Oryctolagus cuniculus: one gene and its partners. The protein of the gene in region 1 binds, or shares a complex with, the protein of each later gene. Links are inferred from orthologs where the notes say so. Each region holds a gene or a part of one and is shown in the gene's direction. Other genes may lie near its edges.

Region 1 (3,587 bases):
TTTACAGTGTGTGAATTATCTCTCTGATGTTAAGAGAAAGAAACAATATAAAATGGTGTGTAATTGGGTATAAATTTATATAGTGCAGACAGTAAGTGTTCTTCAGAAAATTAGGGAGAGATGCCAGTGTAAACAGAAGACTTCCTGGACATTGTAAAAATTATTAGTCAGTCAATTTATTTACTTGAGAGCCAGAAACAGAAAGAGTCATCCACTGGTTCACTCCCCAAATGCCCACACCAGCCAGGGCTGGGTCAGGTCAAAACTGGGGACCAGGGACCAGGAATAGTCTCCCTTGTAGATGGCAGGGACCCAACTACTTGAGTCATCAGCTGCCACCTCCCAGGATGCCTGGAAGTTGGAATCAGGAGCAGCACCAGGACTATAACCAGGCACAAGTGTCCCAACCAGTGTTCTGCTGGGCCACGCACCTGTCCCTTCCAGGGCATTTCTGATGGAGGACCTGCTGAGACAGTCCTCGGCAGGGTAAGCTTTGTTGTGTCAGGGCTCAGAACAGGCAGCCATGGAAAACAAGGCAACTGGCTGCAGAGGGTGGGGTCAGATTTAGGGAGCCTTGACTGAAGGCAAAGCAAGGGTGTTGGGTTTATTCATCCCATAAACAGTGTAGGAATTTTTTAAAAGATTTTTTAATTTATTTTTGAAAGTCAGAGTTAGGGAGAGATAAAGAGAGAGAGAGATCTTCCTTCCACTGGCTCAGTCCCCCAGATGGTCACCAACAGCCAGCAATGGACCAGGCCAGAACCAAGAGCTTCTTCCAGGTCTCCCGCATGGGTGGCAGGGGCCCAAATGCTCGGGCCATCTTCCACAGCTTTTCCTAGGCCATTAGCACGGAGCTGGATCGGAAGTGGAGCAGCCAGGGACTCGAACCAGTGCCAATATGGGATGTTGGCATTGCAGATGGCAATTTACCCACAATGCCAGCACTCAGTGTGGGGATCTTGATCAGGAGAATACAGTACATACAGACTTGAGAGCAAGGTGGGGTTGGGGGTCTTGACCCCAGGCATTGGAGGTTCTCCAGAGGTGAGGTGCAAGGAAGGAGAGGATAGAGCAGACTGAGACATGTTAGGAGACGAATCCAGGAAAAGAGTTGGCCCTGGAGGCTTTTTATAGATCCTGTACAAGAGTTTGGTTTGCACGTCTGGTTGGGATGGCGCCAGCTGGGCCAGGTCTCTGCCGCCTCCTCTTGATGGGGGTGGGGGGGATGCCTGATTCTGCTCCTTGCTGCATTTTGTCTTTGGAGTTCCTTTTTGTCTCCCGGACCTGTGGAAACAGGCTGTGTGATGCCAGAGGCGAAGAATTTGAGTTTGCTATTGACCAGCGGCCGGTACAAGTCATGCACTGCAAAATATTTAATCAGTGAGGTCATTTGAGGGGAGCGAGATTTGATCAATAGGAGTGTCTGCAGTTTTCCTTAAGGGTCAAGTCCAAACGGATTGTCTAACACTTTCATTTGGCAAAACCACAGTCCATTAAAACTGGGAAGGGTCGGTTTTTCTGAGGCCCACAAAGGCTCATTTTTAACCCACTCACTTCTGCGGTGTCCCCTTGACTGGACTCACAGGAATAAACCACATGCTGGCCTTGTGGTTCCAGAACCCCTCATAATGCAGCACCCAGTTTTCAATGACCCAGTATTGGGCTGACACGGGCCAGGGACTGCAGCCCAGGCCACCCAGCCTTACCTGTTCGTCGTGGTCCCAAGGACCCATTGGAGCAAACCCCTGTGGGTCCCTGGTGTTGTCCGGTGCCAGGGGACCCCTTTTCCATTTATAGGGTGTTTAGCAGAAACCTTTTGAGCACCCCCAAAATGAGAGGTGCAGGAGAAATGGGAGCGCAGAAAGGGGCACAGTGAAGGGGCGTGCAGCTGCCCCAGCAGGGGCTGAGATCCTGGGTGCTGAGTGGCAGACCAAGTGCTACAGATTCAAAGGTAAATGCGACTCTCATCCCACAGTCCCACCAGGCGGGCATTGCAGGTGGCTTCCTGGAGGAGTCGCCAGCCAGAGCCAGGCAAAGAGACACACAGGGGCCCCTGCGGGGTGGGGTGGTGGGTGGGGGTAGCCGCAGGTGAAGCAGGGCTGAGGGAGAGAGGGCACGTGTGTTCTGAGTCAGAGCCTCAGGGCCAGGGGCCTGCAGGGCATTTTCTGGGAGCGGCTTAGGCTCAGCAGGAGTGCGGAATCGGCCTGATGGAAGAGGCTGCGATCTTAGTCAGGCGGTGGGTGACAGACACCAACTGTGTGCGTTCTTTTGGTGCAAGAAGAGGCCAGGGATACCTCTGCACAGTCCTTACAGGAAGCAGGACCCCCATTCCCCCTCTTTGGTGCAAAGGAGCGTACAGGCCAGGATGGAAGAGGTGCTGTGGCCGGAGGGTCAGGAGAGGGTTGGGTGCTCTGGGTAGCATGGGATCATGTGAGTTCTGGACACCCTGGGTGGGTCCGGTGCAGGGGACAGGCAAAGTCGAGTGGCTGAGACAGCGCTGGGGACAGAGGAAGGTGGGGACACACAGGGCGAGCTGGGCGGTGGGCCGAGGAGAAAGGAGCTTTGTGTGCAGCAGCGTCTGCTGCCAGAGCAAGTGTGGGTTTGGGGCAGCTGCGGGCCTCCCTTCCTTATATAGGCAAAGGCTCCAAATCCTCTGGCCCAGCACCTGTCAGAGAGAGGCTCCCCTGAGCTGACCTCGCCTCTGCCTCCTTGGAGGCCAGACCCCCACACACACTGAACCACGGGAACTGCGGCCCCCCCCCCCCCCCCCCGTGACAGACAGGGGTGGGGGCTGCTGGATTTCGGAGGGGCAGGGCTTGTCCAACTGTTGTTAGGGGAAGGGGTGTCCCTGTGGGGGCAGTGGCCACTCCTGGCAAAGAACTGGGCGTGTGCGGGGCAGCATCTGGCCACAGAGGAGGCCTGGGGAGGGCGGCCTCTCCCTTAGGATGGCGGGAAACGCAGTGTGATCCGCTTAACGCTGCTGCAGCTGCTTCCTAACTTTGCCTCTTTTCTTCCTTTGACTTTTGGAGGAGCGGGGTGGGGGAGAGGAGCCAGGGGTCCCAGGCCGCCAGCTGTCTTCCCACTGACCCGTATTCCCAGCCCCAACGCCAGTTCGAGGAAGTGAGGCCCGGTGGTGGCCAGCGTAACTCCCCCTTTGTCTCTCCCTCCTCCCTCGCCCGCCACTGCCTCCTCTGCCCGTCCCTGGGGTGGCTGCAGCCCAGCCCTGGGGAGCCCCTGTGGAAGTGGAGTCCTTGCTGGTCCACCCGGGTGACCTGCTGCAGCTTCGCTGTCGGCTGCGGGACGATGTGCAGAGCATCAACTGGCTGCGGGACGGGGTGCAGCTGGCAGAAAGCAACCGCACGCGCATCACGGGCGAGGAGGTGGAGGTGCGGGACTCCGTGCCCGCCGACTCCGGCCTCTACGCATGCGTGACCAGCAGCCCCTCGGGCAGCGACACCACCTACTTCTCCGTCAACGTCTCAGGTTGGTAGCAAAGCCCCGCCCTCACGCTCTCCCCGCACCTACCCCCTCCGGCCCACTGTTTCCGAGGGAGCGAGCCTCTGCCCCACGCTCTGCTTCCGATCCGC
Region 2 (3,587 bases), on another chromosome or scaffold:
CCGCCAGACCCATCCCTGCCGTGTTTGACTCTTTCAGTTCCTCACGTACCTGTTCTCGCGAGAAAACAGCATCTGGGACGAGAAGTACGACGTGGTGGACATGCAGGACATGAACAACCCCTTGTCTCATTACTGGATCTCCTCCTCCCACAACACGTGAGTGTCGCCGTGGGCTCTCCGTTCTGGCAAAGCGTGTTGCATGACGGCCACCATGTGTCCCAGTCTGGAATATACAGAACCTTCTGGAAGGGGCCGGGGATGGGGGATGCAGCTCCATTTCCCAGCAGGCCTGGCAATGATAATCCTTTCTCAGCGGCTCTGCCAAGCAAGTCGGCAGAGCTGCTTTGCACAGTTGAGGCCTCTCATACTGGCCACAGAAAAGCAATTCCCCTAGTTGTTGGGCTGATATTCACAGGCTACCTACTATGTGCCTGCCACCTGCTAGGGAAACAGGGCATGAGGGGAGAGCAGCCTCATCTCCCTGTGCTTGGAGGGGCAAGGCCACCTTGGACGTGGCCATGACTGTGAGTTGATGAGAGAACCAGCAATAGGGCAGAGAGGAGCGGTTCAGGAAACAGAGCACCACATACCAAGGTCTCGAGGCAGAAATAACCTATGAAGGCCAGCGTGTAGGGTATGGGGGGGAGGGCGGGGCACAGCGATTTTGTGCCCGACCTCTGCCCTGCTGGGCAGCTGCGGGGGGGGTGGCGTTCACTTTTCACCTGCCCCCGTGTCACTGGTGCCCCGGGTTCTGCTGGGGGCACACGTGCGTCTGTGTTGCCCCGGTGGTTACTGCGCACGACTTGCACCAGTGGCCCGAGTTGAAGGTCTGTGGCCACGTGATGGCCGTCCTTGGATCTTTCGAGCTGTGAAGATCTTTCAGGACCTTGGCGGCTCGGGCCTAGGGGCGGGGCTGCCTGCCCACCATGGCCACCTGCCTCTCCCCCTCAGGTACCTCACTGGGGACCAGCTGCGGAGCGAGTCCTCCACGGAGGCGTACATCCGCTGCCTGCGCCTGGGCTGCCGCTGCATTGAGTGTGAGTGGAGGAGGCGGGTGTGGGGCCAGGAGGCTGTGGGGCTTCTTCCTGCTGGAGGTGGGCGGGACTGGCGGAGGCAGGCGCAGGTGCCTGTCGAGTCGTCGATGGTATGAGACCTGGGACCTCTCACAGTCGCTGAGACAAGGAGCGGTGTCTGGAGCCTGACGGGTCCATGGTTTGGGGCGTCCTGAAAAATGTCCCAGTGTCACAGGAGCCTGGGGTAGGGGTGGCAGTGCCAAGGACGGTGCTCTTGTCTTTGGTGCTCACCCTGCTTCTGTCGGGGTTGGTTTCAGAGAGCGCCTCGGTGCCCTTGAGGGTGGACAGGTGGTTCCTAGAGTACCCGGAGCCCCACATGACCTGCACGGTGAGGGTGGCTCTGAGACAGATGGCCGACCTCGCATCCTTCCTCCCCTCTGGTCCTCCCATCTCTTCCCAGTTGGCCTGGCTCACTCTACCCCTGGGGACTTGCAGGTATCTTCGGCTGGGCGCCGGCACATACCACGGACTCAGGCTCTGGTGTCACAGGGAACGGTTATCTCACAGACCTCTGGGTTAATACTTTTAATTCCCCACCAGGAAAAAGCAAATGCGACAGAGTCAAGTGTGACTCCGTCAGCTGCTGCTGCCCTCTGGGGGATGGAGACCCAGAGCCCAGATCTCGTCCCGTGTGAATATTCGAGTGATGCTTGCAAATGCGTTTCTCTTGCTGTTTGTCGTATGCACCAGCAGAGAGGCAAGCCACAGTGAGGCAGGTGACAGCAGAAGATAAACCCCTTTCAGACACCTGTTTTAAACTGAGGCAGTGAAGCTAGGAACTACGTGACGTAGGTCCCAGGTAGCCACACGGATGCAGGAGAACCGTCCTCACCTGGGTGGCCTCCAGCTGCTCTCAGTGGGCGTGTGTGGGGCTGAGGCCACTGCCCTTCTCCCCAGTGGACTGCTGGGACGGGCCCGACGGGAAGCCCATCATCTACCACGGCTGGACGCGGACCACCAAGATCAAGTTCGACGACGTCGTGCAGGCCATCAAAGACCACGCCTTTGTCACCTCAAGGTGAGTTGGTGGCCTTTAAAGAAAGGCAGCTAGGAGTGGATTGACGGGCAGATATAGATGCTGCCTGCCTTCCCCAGACAGAAGAGGCCTGAGCTCCATCCTAGCCAGTCACCCGTGAGCCCCAGCTGACTGTTGGTGCCCCCTACAGGTCAAGAGTGCAGGAGGCTCCCACAGCGCCCTGCACCCTCCGGTTCTCAGCCTGCTCTCTGTTTCTGAGCCTGTCCAAAGAGAAAGACAGCCAAGGTTCCCTTCCTGCTAAAATCCTCCTTGCTTCCCAGGTCCCCAGAGGCCTGTGGGATCCAAAGAATCTGGTGGTGGTAGCAGTGATGGTATGGATAGTGATGGTGATGATGGCAGTGTGGGTTGTTGGTGGTGATGGTGGTGGTGGTAGTAGTATTGGTTAGTGGTGATGGCATTGGTGGTGGTGGTGGTTGGTGGTAATGGTATTGGTGATGATGGTGACAGAGGTTGTTGGTGATGCTGATGGTATTATATGGGTTGTTGGTGATGGTATTGGTGATATTGGTGGTGGTTTTTGGTGGTTGTGATGGTGGTGGTTGGTGATGGTGATAGTATGAGTTGTTGGTGATGGTAAGGTAGTATATGGGTTGTTGGCGATGGTATTGGTGATATTGGTGTGGTTGGTGGTGGTAGTGATGGTGGTGGTTGGTGGTGATAGTGATGGTGGTAGTGTGGGTTGTTGGTGATGATAGTAGTGATGATGGTGGCAGTGGTTGGTGTGATGGTGGTAGTGTGGGTTGTTGGTGGTGATGATGGTGGTGGTTGGTGCTAGTGCTGGTGGCGGTAGTGCTGGGTTGTTGGTGTTGATGGTATTAGTGATGATGCTGGCCATGGTTGTTGGTGATTGTGATGGTAGTGCTGGGTGGTGGTGTCTTTCCCCGGGGCTGGCCTCTGCACCAGGCTCTTTGTCCATGTGATCTCAAGCAGGCATGGTTGTGTAGGGACACAACACTGGGGTCAAGCAAGTCAGCGCTGACATTTTGCTTGGTTTGTGTGACTTCTGAACCGGGTCTGATCCTCTCTGTTTGGGCAGCCCGTGATCTAGGCCTTGACCGGGGATCCGGGGTCCCCGTGAAGGACCGGACAGCAGTGCCTGGGCCCTGTGGTCTCTATTGCAGCCCCCACTTAGCCCGTTTGCTGCGGCTCAGAGACAGCCACGGCACGACTTGAGCAGTGGGCATGGTGCGTGCAGGTGAGACACAGGAAAGTCCAAGGCAGCCTGGATTTGGTATGTGGGCCTCGGTTTGTTGGCTCCTGGTCTGGGCTCCTTGTGGCTGTGGACAGCTGGCGAGAGGCCTGTGGTAGCCTCAGAGGTGTGAGACTGCTGCACTGCGCCCTTTGAACTCTGTCAGTGACCCGTCTGGGCCAGGGACTCTGCATTCTGTGCTTTGGTTCCGGTATCTTAAGAAGTGGCGGTGAGGGTCATGTGTGCCTCCCAGGGCTGTGCAGAGAGAAAGCGCCGTGATGGACAAGTG
Region 3 (4,049 bases), on another chromosome or scaffold:
CATCAGCAGGCAGCTGGTTAGGAAGTGGAGCCCCCGGGACTGGAACTGGCACTCACATGGTGATGTCGTTGCTGGAGGCAGAGGCTTAGCCCACTACACCAGAGCCCCCGCCCTTCATAGGAAGTTTTTGAAAAGCGTCCCCCACTGTATGAAGAGACATCAGTGGGTTTGTTTTGCAGATAGTGTGCACGCTAAGAGGCCCCCCTCCACCCTTGCCCCTTTATCTGCCCTCAGACATTTGAGGTCTTTCCAGAGTCGGGCACCTTTCCTGGCCCGTCACGTGACTCTGGGTCCTCAGCCCGTCTTGGCTCAGAGCCTCGCAAGTATCCAGGCTGGCCTACCTGGTGAAAATTTGTACTCTTTGTTTCCTTCACCAGCCCTTCTATGGCCCATCGCGGGTGAGGTAGAACAGTTGACTTTTACTTCGTGTCAGATACTGAACTGTTCTGCATGCACTATCAATCTGATACGGTAATTCAGGGATGATGGATTATACATACATACATAAACAACAAGGCAACTGAGGGTTAGGTTAAGGGACTTGCCAGGGAGGAAAACTGAAAGCGAGTAAGATCCAGGCAGGGAGACTCCAGGACTGCCCCACCTCTTGGCCTTTGTTGCCAGTGGCAAGCGACGACAGAATTGATATAGATCTATATAATTTAGTTTCTGTCCTTCAAGAGCTTAAAAATCCTGTTAGGGTTAGAGGAGAGTTATAGACACAGCGCGACTTAAAATAAAACCAAGAGGCAGCATTTGTGGTATTGGGTTTGGTATCTTCGCCTCCTCTGCCAAGATGTAAATAGCACCAACCTCGAGAGGCTGGCGGAGCGCACGCACCAGAACCGCTGGGTACAGTGCCCACCGCGTAGTAAGCGGCCCACCGATGCCAACGACCTCTGTTTGTAAGGCAGGCAGGTGGGAGTGAACGCTGGCGAGGCGACGGGCCAGGTGTGTGGGTGCGCAGCACTTTTGCACCGCAACTTTCCAAGCCTCAGCTTTCGTTCTGCGAAACTACGGCCTGGAGCACAACCACCCCTAAGCGCAGTGAGAAAGTAAAGGCTGCAACCTCACCCCCAGGAGCCCAGCAGCCGCGGGGCCGAAAGGGTTAGCCCAGGGCCCGGGGGCGGCTTTGCGGGCGCCGGCGGGAGAGGCCCCGCCCCGGCCCGGCCCGCCCAGGAGGCCCTGGCAGCTCCAGCCCGCGAGCAGTTCCGGTGCCAAAACCCTTCCCTCCCCCGCTCCCCCGGAAGTGCTTTTCTAGGATTCGGGCCGGAGAGAGGCCTTGTAGGCACAGCCGCTGGGGCTCGATCGGGTCCGAGTACGGGCTCCTCCCGGGTTTGGAGTGCGGGAGTCCGCTCCCGCCGACCCGCGTCCTGCCCGTGGCCAGCAGCGGGGCCGATGGTGAGTGGCCGCGGGAAGGGACTGGGGCGGCCGCGAGCCCGCGTCGGAGCTAGCGCTCTGGGGGCCCCCGCTGCCCGCTCCGGGACTCGGGGCTCCGGACTGTGGGCTCGGCTGTCGGGGTCCGGGAAAGGGTGTTGTCGACCGCCGCGGTCACAGCCCAGCCCGGGGGTGCGGGGGGCGGGAAGAAGCGGGTTGCGGGGCCCTGGGGTGGGCGGGGCGGAGCCTAGGAGGGGGGTTCCCGGAGCTGTTGTTGCTGTTGGGACTCGGGAATCGGGATGGGCTGGGCCTCTGTCCGTCCGCCCCCCTCGCTTCTGCTCCCCCAAATCTCGCCGCCTCCCGGGTGTGAGTTTCTGTGTCTGATTTGGGGCGATAGACTTGGACCCTAGACCCGATCCTGGGCTCCAGTGCCTGACTTTTTCCTCTTTTGGGTCTGCCGCCGGGCTCAAGAATTAGCCCGGGTCCCAGGGGTGCCGCCGCTTCGGTCCCAGGGTGGGGCGCTGCTGGTGTAGATGCCGAAGATCTTCTGCAAGGCTTTTCGTCCATGCCCACTTCGGGGTTGTCCTGGATGGATTTGGACTGCGCTCGGCATCGGTTCGGGAGACGTAGGTTCCCGTGGCGCCAGTGCCTTGCATGTTCCTTTCTCGCTTGAAAGCTTGTTGAAGCTTGTTGTGGAAGTCACTTCAAAACAAAAAACAACTTGCCTGACGAAAACAGCGAGTTCAGATAATTTCGCCTAGCGTCTTGCTGACGTCAGAAAATGATGGTGTTCTTTAAAGTGCGCTCGGGAGTCAGAGTTGCGTTGAGTTCAGTCAAGAGGTTTATCGCACGAACCGATTGCAGAGGCTGGGAGAGTTATTAAGTCCCCTTCCTTCCAAAGTTTGCTTCCCTTTCTGTTTGGAACTGTCATGCTCCTTAACTTTCAAAGAGAAGCCGCGCTTGATTTCTCCGGAAAGGCTCCCGGTACCGTTACAGCTGTTGCTGCAATGCAGGGGTTCACACAGGTGGGCAGAGGAGTTTTGTTTGCTTAAACTTACATCGTGAAGTGTTTGCCTCGCTAACTTGAGAGTTTCCTGGAGAAGAGGATGATGTAGGGAGTTACTTCTAGGAAGCAGGTTTTGAGGTACTAAACTGAAGGAAGGTTTGTGGGAAATACGGGTTTTCTATATTTGATTTTTTTTTTAGTATGGCCATAAGGGAATGCAGTGAAGACGGATTATGACTGTGAGCGGTTGACAACTGTGTTTGCAGTGTGAAGTATACACGGAAGTCACTTTGATGCAGCGCGTGGCCCTCTCTGCACCTCTCGTGTTGTGCTTCTATTAGGACTTATACTGTAGTTTTTTGGGTGCTGATGTCATTCTCTCTCCTCCCACCGCCGGCAGGGGAGGGAAGTAATATCATGAATTAGGGAAAATAGACTGAAGTGACAAGTTCAGTGAGCTCTCTTATGCAAAGGAAAATTTATTTCGGCAGTGTTGATCTTGAGCAAGCAAACGGTGGCTGATTTTAAAAGTCCCTGGAAAAAATTGTAGAGATGAGTTGCACAACTTTAAGATTGATATGCGAACTGTAGATCCTTAGGCATTTGAAGCGCTTGATTGTTTAGAACATAAGGTTGGATGATTGTAATTGAGAGAATCTGGAAAAGAATCAAGTTAGATTTGCGTATGGGTCTGCACTACAGGTATGTATTTAATGCGTTTGAAGAAAAATATTTCAAGAGTTGTTAAGAGCAGAAAAAGAAGATTGGGGAAAATCGCCTTATTTGACACATTGCAAATTTTATATTACTCCGGTCAGTTCAACAAATGCTGAACATTTGCTGTGGGCCGAGATGTGTTAAGCAGCTGTGGGCAGTCTTAGCCACAAGGCCGAGAAGCGATGTGTTAAGCAACTATGCAGGAGCAAATAAAGATAGAGCTGTACAACTAAGACTCATGTTTTGGCAGTAATTTTCTGAGGTGTGCCTGAAATCCTCAAGAGTTGAATTATATTGTTTAGGCATTACTGATCTTCCCCCCCCCCCCCCCCCCCATTGTTGGGACTTAACATCAGAGGTAGGTGTTGAGAGCCTCGTGAAAAGCACAGTGTTCTGCTTAACTTAAGGCTGGGAAGATCCCGTCTTTGGTCTTTAGGACTTGGAAATCTAGTTGGGGTGTAAGATATTTGCATAGAAATTTACAACATAAAGGAATACATGTAAATACTACCTCGGTGGTTTGATCTAAAGTTTGGAGTTGTGTAAAAGGAAAAGGGGCTCATTTTTAGTTTAAGTAACTGTAGGAAGTAGGAGATAAATATTTACAAGGATAACTCTGCAACTCTTGTTTATTGGCCATTTACGGAGCAGCAGGCTATATGCTAGTGCAACAACCTGTTAGCCATCTTTCTTAATAATGAAGATGCTGAGGCTCAAATATGTAAAGTAACCTGCTGGGGGCTTTGTGGCTGGCAGGTAACAGTCCTCAGTTGAATTTGTATCTGTCTGGTGCCAAAGCCTGTGCCTCTCCACAACCTGGCACTGTATCCTCATACACTGGCAACCCAAGTTCGTTGTTTTCTGAGACAAAGGTTTTGAGCTTGGGATTAGGCGGGTGAAGATGACGTTTCAAATAAAGAGATTGTGGCTAGAAGACGTGTGGTGTTGG

What was found.
Region 2: the proteins of FGFR1 (region 1) and PLCG2 are in contact, whole or in part, in a cryo-EM structure (PDB 8JQI), measured with the Homo sapiens proteins. The link is inferred for Oryctolagus cuniculus from reciprocal best matches to the Homo sapiens genes FGFR1 and PLCG2. Residues at the interface, in NP_075598.2 of Homo sapiens: Lys504, Asn506, His541, Lys542, Lys598, Ser602, Tyr605, Gln606, Arg609, Glu612, Tyr613, Ser616, Lys617, Lys748, Asp755, Arg756, Val758, Ser762, Gln764, Glu765, Tyr766, Leu767, Asp768, Leu769; in NP_001412678.1 of Homo sapiens: Phe528, Arg540, Thr568, Phe569, Pro570, Asn571, Phe577, His585, Cys586, Arg587, Arg589, Ser590, Thr591, Met592, Gly595, Leu601, Thr602, Asn604, Leu622, Arg623, Cys624, Ala625, Glu626, Phe627, Glu738.
Region 3: the proteins of FGFR1 (region 1) and FRS2 are in contact, whole or in part, in an NMR structure (PDB 1XR0), measured with the Homo sapiens proteins. The link is inferred for Oryctolagus cuniculus from reciprocal best matches to the Homo sapiens genes FGFR1 and FRS2. Residues at the interface, in NP_075598.2 of Homo sapiens: His409, Ser410, Gln411, Met412, Ala413, Val414, His415, Lys416, Leu417, Ala418, Lys419, Ser420, Ile421, Pro422, Leu423, Arg424, Arg425, Gln426, Val427, Thr428, Val429, Ser430; in NP_001036020.1 of Homo sapiens: Asn25, Val26, Asp27, Asp28, Leu33, Leu47, Thr49, Arg50, Asp53, Ser54, Val55, Trp57, Leu60, Cys61, Leu62, Arg63, Arg64, Tyr65, Gly66, Tyr67, Asp68, Ser69, Leu71, Ser73, Phe74, Gln81, Thr82, Ile86, Phe87, Ala88.

The regions. Positions count from the first base shown.
Region 1 is NC_091433.1:88,167,598-88,171,184, reverse strand, and holds part of FGFR1 (fibroblast growth factor receptor 1), read left to right. Parts: intron 1-3,216; coding exon 3,217-3,483; intron 3,484-3,587. UniProt on the Homo sapiens protein: Tyrosine-protein kinase that acts as a cell-surface receptor for fibroblast growth factors and plays an essential role in the regulation of embryonic development, cell proliferation, differentiation and migration.
Region 2 is NC_091449.1:63,935,211-63,938,797, forward strand, and holds part of PLCG2 (1-phosphatidylinositol 4,5-bisphosphate phosphodiesterase gamma-2), read left to right. Parts: intron 1-37; coding exon 38-156; intron 157-951; coding exon 952-1,037; intron 1,038-1,970; coding exon 1,971-2,091; intron 2,092-3,587. UniProt on the Homo sapiens protein: The production of the second messenger molecules diacylglycerol (DAG) and inositol 1,4,5-trisphosphate (IP3) is mediated by activated phosphatidylinositol-specific phospholipase C enzymes. It is a crucial enzyme in transmembrane signaling.
Region 3 is NC_091442.1:72,013,126-72,017,174, forward strand, and holds the start of FRS2 (fibroblast growth factor receptor substrate 2), read left to right. Parts: upstream 1-1,237; 5' UTR 1,238-1,401; intron 1,402-1,641; exon of another isoform or gene 1,642-2,402; intron 2,403-3,062; exon of another isoform or gene 3,063-3,085; intron 3,086-4,049. UniProt on the Homo sapiens protein: Adapter protein that links activated FGR and NGF receptors to downstream signaling pathways.